Ovis aries: one gene and its partners. The protein of the gene in region 3 binds, or shares a complex with, the protein of the main gene of each other region. Links are inferred from orthologs where the notes say so. Each region holds a gene or a part of one and is shown on either strand. Other genes may lie near its edges.

The links. The genes of interacting proteins can lie anywhere in the genome.
Region 1: DDX39B (region 3) and THOC1 share a complex: the UniProt entries of both Homo sapiens proteins name them as parts of the transcription/export (TREX) complex. The link is inferred for Ovis aries from reciprocal best matches to the Homo sapiens genes DDX39B and THOC1.
Region 2: DDX39B (region 3) and TTF2 share a complex: the UniProt entries of both Homo sapiens proteins name them as parts of the spliceosome. The link is inferred for Ovis aries from reciprocal best matches to the Homo sapiens genes DDX39B and TTF2.

Annotation. Positions count from the first base shown.
Region 1 is NC_056076.1:35,627,473-35,630,438, reverse strand, and holds the end of THOC1 (THO complex subunit 1), read left to right. Parts: intron 1-633; coding exon 634-781; intron 782-1,481; coding exon 1,482-1,557; intron 1,558-2,059; coding exon 2,060-2,355; 3' UTR 2,356-2,466; downstream 2,467-2,966. UniProt on the Homo sapiens protein: Component of the THO subcomplex of the TREX complex which is thought to couple mRNA transcription, processing and nuclear export, and which specifically associates with spliced mRNA and not with unspliced pre-mRNA.
Region 2 is NC_056054.1:94,512,640-94,515,715, reverse strand, and holds part of TTF2 (transcription termination factor 2), read right to left. Parts: coding exon 3,016-3,076; intron 1,419-3,015; coding exon 1,344-1,418; intron 1-1,343. UniProt on the Homo sapiens protein: DsDNA-dependent ATPase which acts as a transcription termination factor by coupling ATP hydrolysis with removal of RNA polymerase II from the DNA template. May contribute to mitotic transcription repression. May also be involved in pre-mRNA splicing.
Region 3 is NC_056073.1:26,828,457-26,832,692, reverse strand, and holds the start of DDX39B (spliceosome RNA helicase DDX39B), read right to left. Parts: upstream 2,801-4,236; 5' UTR 2,574-2,800; exon of another isoform or gene 1,911-2,573; intron 1,548-1,910; 5' UTR 1,418-1,547; coding exon 1,207-1,417; intron 28-1,206; coding exon 1-27. UniProt on the Homo sapiens protein: Involved in nuclear export of spliced and unspliced mRNA. Component of the TREX complex which is thought to couple mRNA transcription, processing and nuclear export, and specifically associates with spliced mRNA and not with unspliced pre-mRNA.

The sequences.
Region 1 (2,966 bases), on a different chromosome or scaffold from region 3:
GATTTCTGGAACAGGATCTCTAGTCTTTCTTGCCATACTGTGTACCACCTGTTACTGCCACAGTGGAGCATCTGGCAGATTCTGTTCTTGGTGTCGGTGTTTACGGTCTAGACTACTGGCTGTGTCCTATCCACCAAGGTTGATACTGAGCAAATGAAAGTTTGAACGTTATATAAATTTCTTTAAAAAGCAGATAGTACATTACAGGGTGAAATCTGTTGGGTTTATAAAACATTCTGAAGCTCACAGCTGCAGGCAGCACTGCCAGTGAGGATAGAAACTCAGTGAGCCTCTGACTGTCTTTGTAAGTGGTGAGGCAGATGGCATCTGTCCTGCACACACAGCATCTGGCCAGTCCTGGACGCCTACTAATTGACCTTTAAATGTCTGTAAACTTTTAAAATGCATTTGCTGCCTATGAACCTGCCCCTTTGGACTCTGCTGGTTTCTATTTGTAAGTGAACTGCATGCTGAAAGGTTCTTTAGGGCTACGGTCAGTGTGAGAAGAATGGTGCCTTCAGCTACTGATCTGAGTGTAGAGTTTCTTCTGGTGAACTAAGTACATTAACTAGAAGAGAATATAAAAATTATAAATAACTATATAAATCACAAGATTGATGTCTCTTTTTACAGGGCTGTGAACAACTCAAATTATGGTTGGAGAGCCCTAAGACTGTTAGCACGGAGAAGCCCTCACTTCTTCCAGCCAACCAACCAGCAGTTTAAAAGTTTGCCAGAATATCTCGAAAACATGGTAATAAAGCTAGCCAAGGAATTACCAGTAAGTAGGAGTGATGAGTGTTTTATCCTTCAGTTGGTGTTCTCTTCTTTTGTAAAACTACTGTTGCTGTTTGAGCTAAGAGCTGAATTTCACTTTGATCATGTGGAAAAAATATGATCCACAAACCCCGTTGTTTCAGAATGAGGAAATGCCTTTGAGTATTCATTTATAGGAAGTATCAATACATAAACTGGTGAAGTAACTTCACGTGCTGTATTAAGTTGTTATACTTTGGTTACTCTTCCTGTTGGTCAATGCATCCTACTTTATCACAGGCAGGGCCCATGGGGTGGGGGTAGGCAACTTGGTCTATCTTCCTACTCTGTTCTCTTTTCTAATACAATATGGCAATAACTATACTGTATGCAAGCAACCAACAGTTACTCAGAGCATGTTGTCAAGCACATGGTTGGTCCCCGGTCTGCCCTAGATTGTTGTTACCACGTATGTGCTGGGCACGTGCAAGTCATCGCACCAGGCTTCCTACTGGCTCCCTTCTTCCCAGGCTGGGGTGAAGGGGGTCCTTCCAACCTCTGGTTGTCCCCGTCCTTCCTTCTCCAGGTTAACACTGTCCCACTGTGATCCTTACCTGATGTTCATGTTTAACATTTAACTGCAATCTCTTATCTAAGATCAAACTACCCGCACTTCTCTGATTTTAGAAGTTGGTACTCTAAGACATTCCTTTTACTCATTGTAGCCTCCTTCTGAAGAAATAAAAACAGGTGAGGATGAAGATGAGGAAGATAATGATGCTTTACTGAAGGAAAATGAAAGTAAGAATTGAATTTTCTTGGCTATTTTACAAAATTGGAAAAGATTGGGGTTCTTTGTTGAGAGGTACGTTATTTGATCTACTTCTCAACTTCTGTTTATCTCAGCTCTGTTTCTTATAGTGAGGAATCTAAAGCATTGCTTGATAACAACTTTTCCAATAGTGCATTTTATACAATAATATTAAGTGTTGGGAAGGAGAGCACTTACATTTGAATGCACCTCATACTTCTTAATTCTCGGGGTTCAGATTGGGGGCTGCTGGTTTCAGGGGAAACCTTCATGATTATAACACAGGCACCTTCATGATTATAACACAGGCAACAGCTTTAGTTTTACATCCCTAATGATCATAAGAATTCAACCAGGGGAAATATAAAAAGGAACTGTTCTACTTTTAAAATCAAGCTTACTGAAGTCTGAGTGGCCCCGTGTCCCATTATGGGCTTTGACTCATACACATCCTCGCATTTTGTTCGTAATTACTTCCCCTGTGTTTTCTAGGTCCTGATGTTCGTCGAGACAAACCTGTAACAGGGGACCAAATAGAGGTATTTGCCAACAAACTGGGTGAACAGTGGAAGGTCCTGGCTCCTTACTTGGAAATGAAAGACTCAGAAATTAGACAGATCGAGTGCGACAGCGAAGACATGAAGATGAGAGCCAAACAGCTGCTCGTGGCCTGGCAGGACCAAGAGGGAGTGCACGCAACGCCCGAGAACCTGATCAACGCGCTCAACAAGTCTGGGCTAAGTGACCTTGCAGAAAGTCTAACTAATGACAATGAGACAAACAGTTAGCTTCGTCCTTTTATTATTATTATTAAAACTGTGATAAGGTTTTGTTACCAAGCAGCATTTGATAAGAGGTCCACTGGTTTTGGTAAACAATAAACATTTTTATAACAGTTGTACAGTTGGCTGGTGCTCCACGAACAACAGAATGTTTGTTGGCTCTTGATGACTGACCTCAGGGTTTAGGGGGAGAAGTTGGGGAAATGGCCAGAATATTTTTGTTAATTATATATGTGTAAGTCAGTTAGCAATGTTCAGGGGCATGGTGTTCCCTGAATGCCATGAAGTTACAGAATTTAACTTGCTGAGAATCCCGCAATACTACTTTCTGAATCTGCATGACTGCTCTAGTCTCATATATGCTTTAAAGCAGAGGATCAGCAAACAGTGGTCCATTTGCCACCTCTTTCTATAAGTAAAGTGTTTACGGCACAGCCACACTGATCCTTACTTAAGTCCTTCCTACCTATGGACTCCTTTCATGCTACAAAGGTACCTACAAAGCTTAAAACGTATGAAAATATCTGGCCCACTACAGAAAAATGTGCCAACCCCCAAGCTTAAAAGAAAAGGGGTGAAGTATAAAACCTAATTCTTTTAGCCTTACAGGACTTAGG
Region 2 (3,076 bases), on a different chromosome or scaffold from region 3:
GTTGCCATTACCTTCTTCAGGGAATCTTCCCAACCCAGGAATCAAACCCAGGTCTCCTGCATTGCAGGAGAGTTCTTTACCACTAAGCCACCTGGGAAGCCTAATAGGTATTCATTTTTTTGAGATGAATGAGATAAATCCATGAGTAGATGAATAATGGGTGTGGATGTGGACACCGATTCATACATTTTGTGGGAATTTGGATATCTGGGCCTGAAGGTGAGGAGACCTTGGAACTGATGGTATAGATTTTGGACTTGCTGGAGTAGATAGGATTATTGAGAGAGGTGCATACAAAGCAAGCTGAGAAGAGAGCTAAAGACCGAACAACGGACACAATTGCTGTACTTGGCACATTTTGGAATTCATTGGTCCCGTTAGCAAGAGCGGCTTCAGTGACGTGACAGGGGTGAAAGCCAGTTCATACAGGCTGAGGAATGAATGGGAAATAAGTAAAGAGAGACAATGATTTCTAATTCTTCAAGAAACTTGGCCATGAAGATGAAGGAAAGCAGTCCATAACTGGGCTGGATTGCACTGTTAAGGCAGGTTCTATCATTGTTTTTAAAAAGAGGAGGGTCTCACGTAGAGGGACATTCAAAATAACTGTCCTGTGCACTTTAAAAATGTCACGGTCATAAAACACAAAGAAAGACCAAGTGTTGTTCCAGATTAAAGGGGACAAGAGAGTGAGAAGAACTGAATGCTATGCAGGATCTTTTGTGGGAAGGACATCACTGGAACAAGTGGCAAAATTGAATAAGGTCCATAGATCAGATGATAGTATTATATCATTGTTAACATCCTGGTTTTGATAACTTTATTGTGATTATGTAAGAGATGTCATTTTTAGAAAGTGCCTATTTTAGTATTTAGAGGTAAAGGAACATCATGTCTGCAACTTACTGTCAAATGGTCCAGAAAAAAGCTTACACACACACACACAAATGTCACAGCAGTCAGGAATCTTTTGGTATTATTCTTACAATCGAGAACTCTGGGATATTTTTGTAAGAATTCCTACATTCTTTTCTATGTCTGAAGTTATGTCGAAATAAAAGCGAAAGAAAGAGAGAGAAAGAGAGAGAGGAGGGTCCTTTCATGGGCAGCCTTGACTGAGATAAGGCTCATCATTGTACTTAAGTTTTCTTCTGCAGGGACCAGCTCCAAGGTTACCCTCAAATTGCTAGTGTTCCCTTCCTGACCATGAGTGCCAAGGAGGATGAGCCCCACAAAAACCATCAGTACAGTGACCACCAAATACTTTACATTCTGTTAAAACACTACTAAGAAAGATTTTCACAGGAGCAGATCCTGGCCCCAGGAGACCTTTACATACTTACTTATGTATGACGACATCTTTTTGCTGCCCTACTCGGTAGATTCGGTCACAAGCTTGATCTTCAAGTGATGGATTCCTGTGAGAAGACAGGTTTTGAACTCAGGGGAACTGATATCCTCAACAAGGGGCAGGCAAATCCCACAGGCCAAATCCAGCCTGTAATCTGTCTCTGTATGGCTCTTGAGTTTGAAATAGTTGTTACATTTTTAAAGGTTTGTAAAAAAAAAAAAAAAATTAAAACCAAAATCCACAAAAAAGAATATGTGACAGAGACCTATGTATCTGCAAAGCCTAAAATATTTATAGAAAAAGTTGGTAGATCTCTGTTCTAGCGTATGCGGGGCTTGGAGACTCCCAGATGTCTTCCTCCCCTCTCATGAGAAACTGGGCTCAGATCTGCCTCCAACAGGAACTCTTAGCACCACCATCAGCTGAAAACTATAGGTAACAGAGGCTAAAGTGATGCTCAAATCCAATCATTAACTAGCTGGATGACTCTGGGCAAGTCATCTAACCATAACCTAAAAGGCTTGGGAATCAGAGGGCTGGCAAATGATCATTAATGCCTTTATCTTTTTTAAGATTTTTTTTAACTGTGGACCACTTTTAAAGTCTATATTGAACTTACTACAATACCGTTTGCTTTATGTTTTGGTTTTTTAGCTGCAAGGCTTATGGGATCTTAGCTCCCCAAACAGGGATTGAACCCACACCCCCTGCGATGGAAGACAAAATCTTTTAACTACTGGACCATCAGGAAAGTCCTCTCTAACGCCTTCTTCAACTTTTAACTTTCTATGATTCAAATAAGGAGACTTAATTTGTTTCCTTCTTTCTAGATTCTCCTTTTCAATTCCAAACTAGTTTCTCATCTCACCTCTTTAAAAACTTGAATAACATTTCTCCAATTCAGAAGCCAGCATGATTCCAATTCTGCTTTCCTCATGTATGGGGGTGGGAGGGGTCCCAAGTAAGACCTAAACACATTCTCCAGGAAGACAGCAACAGGTGGGCCTGTCTGTGCCCATCTGGCTGCCTGGAGAACAAATGACAATCCCTGGCAACGGTGCCTGGAGCAGCAATCCCTAACTGGCATCATTGAAAAAGCAAAACTGGGACAGATTATGATACTTTCTCCTAGCAACACACGAATCATTTGCTTCGTACCTAAGAAGGACGCTGCTATGCTCCTGGTGTTGACACTATGAGTGGTGAGTCCAAGGCTACGTGTTAAGCATGTATCTAACATAATTAGAAAATTTCTTTGCCTTTTCCTTTAGGAGTAATGGTTCTCATTCTTTGCCAATGCTGAGATTTCCTTGGACTTCAACAAGTATGTCTGAGATACGGTGTTTTGAAGAGAGAAAACTCTTCGTTGAGTGAAGTAGCTCTTAGCCATGAGAAAAAGCCCTACTCCCAGTTTCCATGGAAACAGACATCAGGTTAACAATAAAGTGAAGAAACTATTTTAAACAGTCATTTGAATCCTTCCTTGGTCAGGAATACAGGGCCATCAACTCAGCCTACACCATTTTGATCTGTATCTGTACACACGTATGCACAGAGGCACCTCCACAATACGAAAGGAACACACTCATATGAGGTCAGGTTTTACTGCCCCTCTGGTCTCCCTGCGATGCAGGGACAACTCAAGAAAAACCCATAATTGTTACCAGTGCATGTCCAGAAGAAAAAGATGGTTTCCTCCAGTCAGGTTTAGACCGACACCTCCAG
Region 3 (4,236 bases):
TGGCTTGAGGGATGCACTCATGCTGGACTAGAAATAGGGAAGAAAAGGTAAATTAGACTCCAATCTCCAGAGAACTCCACCACATTTTTGCACCAGGCCAAACCCATTTCTCACCACTCAATTCTTAAGTAATTCTTGTCAATTTCTATACCCTCTCTCTGCTCTCTCAATCAAAGTGAAAGTGAAGTCGCTCAGTCGTGTCCAACTCTTTGTGACCCCATGGACTGCAGCCTACCACACTCCTCTGTCCATGGGCTTTCCCCGGCAAGAATACTGGAGTGGGTTGCCATTTCCTTTTCCAGAGGATCTTCCTGACCCAGGGATCAAACCCAGGTCTCACGCACTGTAGGCAGACGCTTTACCGTCTGAGCCACCAGGGAAGTCCCTCAAAGTGATTCCCAAATCAAGACCGTCCCAGTTTCTTCTAGTATCAGCCTCTTCTAACTCCAGGGCCCAAAGTCCTGCCATCAACCCTCTGGGCATCTACCAATCGGTCATCTTAGGTGCTCCTCTGTCCCAATGCTCCTTAATCTGTAACAATCCATGACTTTTGAGGGCCTGTCACAGGCTACTTCTCCTACTTAGATTGTCATGCTTTGGGTGACATAACTCTGCAACCTTGGGCAAAATGAAGAACCCGGTGAAAGTGAAGTTGCTCAGTCATCTCTCCGACTGTGACCCCGTGGACTATAGACTGCCAGGCTCCTCCGTTCATGGGATCTTCCAGGCAAGAGTACTGGAGTGGGTCGCTACTTCCTTCTCCAGGGGATTTTCCCGACTCAGGGATTGAACCCAGTCTCCCAAATTGCAGGCAGACGCTTTACCGTCTGAGCCACCAGGGAAGAACTTAGTACTTGACCCAAAAGACAGCTATCTTTAGACCAGCCATAAAGGTTTACAGAGACCAGAGGTGATTTGATCCAAGGGTCCAACCAGCTCCTCTTTGGAAATTTTAAATTAAAAGACAAAATTTAAAACAAGGAGACAAGGAGAAAAGCCACTCTAAGTTGCTTTGAAGTCACTAGCACTTACATACTATCATGAACAAAGACAAACCTATATAAACATCTTCTACTGCTGAAATAGGTTCTGGTACTTATTTCCTGATCTATCCTATATATAAAACTGTAAGGGACCATGGCTATTATCTGTTTTCTTGTATCCTTAAAGCACCAATGAGTACTCCATGCCCAACAGGAAATTTACCTTCTGATGGATGCTCAAAGCCACAGTCAACAATGGCCCGGAGCAACTCTGGCTTGAGCAGGAAGTCACGAAAGCCAGAGCTGTGGATGGAGACATAGGAGCCCTTGACATCCTTCTTGGCAGGGGCCTCAGCCCCATCTCCCCCAGCTGCCGTCTCCACCTCATCATCTTCATAATCCAAGAGCTCATTGTCCACATCGTTCTCCGCCATAACTGGGCCGGCAGGAAAAGGGGAAGGGTCTCCGGATGGGTTAGCGCAGAATAAAGGAAGACAAGAGGAGGAGAGTGGGGGCTTGAGGAACAGAAGAGGAAAAGAAACACACTAGTTTCTGACAGAAGAGCTGGGAGGGGGGAAAAACAGGGAGAAGACATCAGTCATGAGTAGAGCCTTCACCATCTATCCCGTCCATCCCCACACTCTTCCTTTCCCCAAACCGACACATGTACCTGGAAACAAAAGTAACAAAGGGGGAAAAAAAGTAACAAAAAAACACAAGACAAAGAAACAAAAGGTAAACATAACACACGGAATGGGAAAAGTGTGTTTCCCAGGAGTGACGATTAGGACATAGGTTCCCAAAAAGATAGGATCGGAGAAGCAGAAACCGGAAAGCTAGGAAGGCCAGGCCAGCTTCTCAATTCCTGCTCCAGGACAGCAGTAAGGATAAAAATTAAAGACACATAAAAAACAGACTGCTACTAACAATTTACAAGACTGGAGAATGTTAAGTGACAAAATGAAAAATCCTCAACGAAAGACCTTGTGCTTTCCCGATAATCTCAAGGTGTGGACAGCAGCCATCAGTCAAGGGTGATAGATTTACGGTCGTCATTGAGCAAAGCGCTCACTTTTCAAAATGGAAACATCATATGGCTGCCATCCACCTCTCCCAACACTCCAGTCTCCCACTCCTCAGACACCTCACACTCGCGCGTAAAAAATCCTTCGGCGGTGGTGGCGGAGGAGGGTGGGGGCTAAAGAATGTCTCGGCCAGAAGAAAAAAACCCACTCCTCCATCACTCCTTAGGTATGGCTCGTTTCCGAAAAACACACAATGACACCACTCGTAAACATTTAGGAAATGCTCCAAATAACGGTGGGCAAACCGGGCCGAGAAACGTCCAGGTAGGCCTAGAAGCCGGCTCCTCTTCCTATTCCCGCCGCGGACCGAGGACCCAGAAATAAGCGGGAAAGTGAGAAGACCCCGCCCTCCGCAAATACCCAGGACCAGAGGACGCCTGGCGCCGCCTCTCAATGTCACTGGGGCCTCGAGTAATCGAGGGGGGCCACCGAAGGAGCGAGAAGCAAAGAAAACACAATGGCGCCGGGGCCACCATCTTGGATTGGGCCCCCCTAGCTTCCCTACCTCCCCCCCAAAGTTTCTTCATCTCGAAAAAGATGCAAGCGATGGAACTAACGACCCAATCAGACTCCAACAACCAGATCATGGCCTGTGCAAGGGCTATCAGGAGCTCGTGCGACAGGATGGCCGCAGAGAAACGCAGATGGAGGCGGATGGTGCCGAAGGCCCAAAGCTTACCTGAGCAAGGCAAAGACGTATGGCGGCGGCAACAGCGACGAAGAAGGGAATCTGCCTTCACTTCCGGTTCCCGGTTTTCCCTCCACCCGGCCTCCCGCCTTCGCTGATGCGAGCGCGCAGGCGCAAAGAACCGGAAGACGGGCCTTCTACGGTTGTGTAGTTCTGCTCGTTCTAGGGTTGCCTTTAGAAAATGCCTGCGTGAAAAAAAAATTTTTAAGCCACTTCTTACCCTTTTGCTACTACCAGTAACAAAATGCATCAAGGAAACTATAATCCTTCCCATTGTTATCTTTTTTCCGCGTGTCCAGTTCTTTTCCGCGCCTCTCTCTTCATTTAGATTCTTGCCATTCAGGTCTTCTCTCTGGGCATCCCTCCTCTGGGCGCAGGAGGACCCAAGCTGGCGGGACTTCGATTTCCCACGGGGTCCTTGGCCCGGTAGTCAAGGTGACCTGGGGGCGCTGGCGCTGGAGTTAGGGAATGGCCAGCCCCAGGTGTAGATAGTGAATAGGTCTCACGGAACCTACCCCCTACCTTTTCCCCAGCCTTGGAACGGCATTTACCCAAAGTAATGGTTGGCTGATGTATCTGATGTCCTAAGGGCCGTGGGCTTGGGCTGTAAGTTAGGAAGGTGTTCTGAAGCCACTGCTTGCAGGACTGGGGGTCTAGATTCTGCCCCAAGTGTTAACGATAAATACTAGGGCATGAGGGTTACATGGTGGTGGGTTAGTCGCTAAGTCGTGTCAGACCCACCAGACTCCTCTGTCGATGGGATTCTCCAGGAAAGACTACTGGAGTGGGTTGTCATGCCCTCTTCCAGGGGATCTTCTCCACCCTGGGGTTGAACTCAGGTCTCCTGCATTGCAGGCTGGTTCTTTACCTACTGAGCCACCAGGGAAACCTGAGTGTTACGTAACATTTTAATAAATGTTATTTCAACCAGAATGTGCTTAACCCTTTACCCAATAACCCCTCCCTTGGTTCATCCTGGATATTTTTCCTGAATGAAACATTTGATATCTCCCGCCTCACTTTTATATGCTACAGAAGTCAAATGTGACTTAACAAAACTGATAACAAACGTTTGACCTTTTACCTATTATCACTTAACCATTTAACACCAAGGTGTACCATTATTCCCATTCTATATCAAGCAAACAGATTCAAAGAAATAAACATGTCCAAAGTAATACAGCTAGCAAGGTGACAGAGCCAGAATGGAGACACCACTTTATTCTCTACTGTATCCTGTCTCCCTGATTAAAGAGTGCTTAATAAATACCCTATAGATAACCTCACTGGTTCAAGGCTCGTTTTCTGTGGCCAAAAGAAATAACAGTGATTCAAGGATGATGTTACAGAAGGGCAGTTTTTCCAACACACAATATCTTTTTTTCAATAGCATTTATCAACTGCCAGTCCTGCGTCAAGTGCTAGCCTAAGATCTGGGTACATAGCAATGAACAGCCCTATCATCACAGAGTTCATTTAA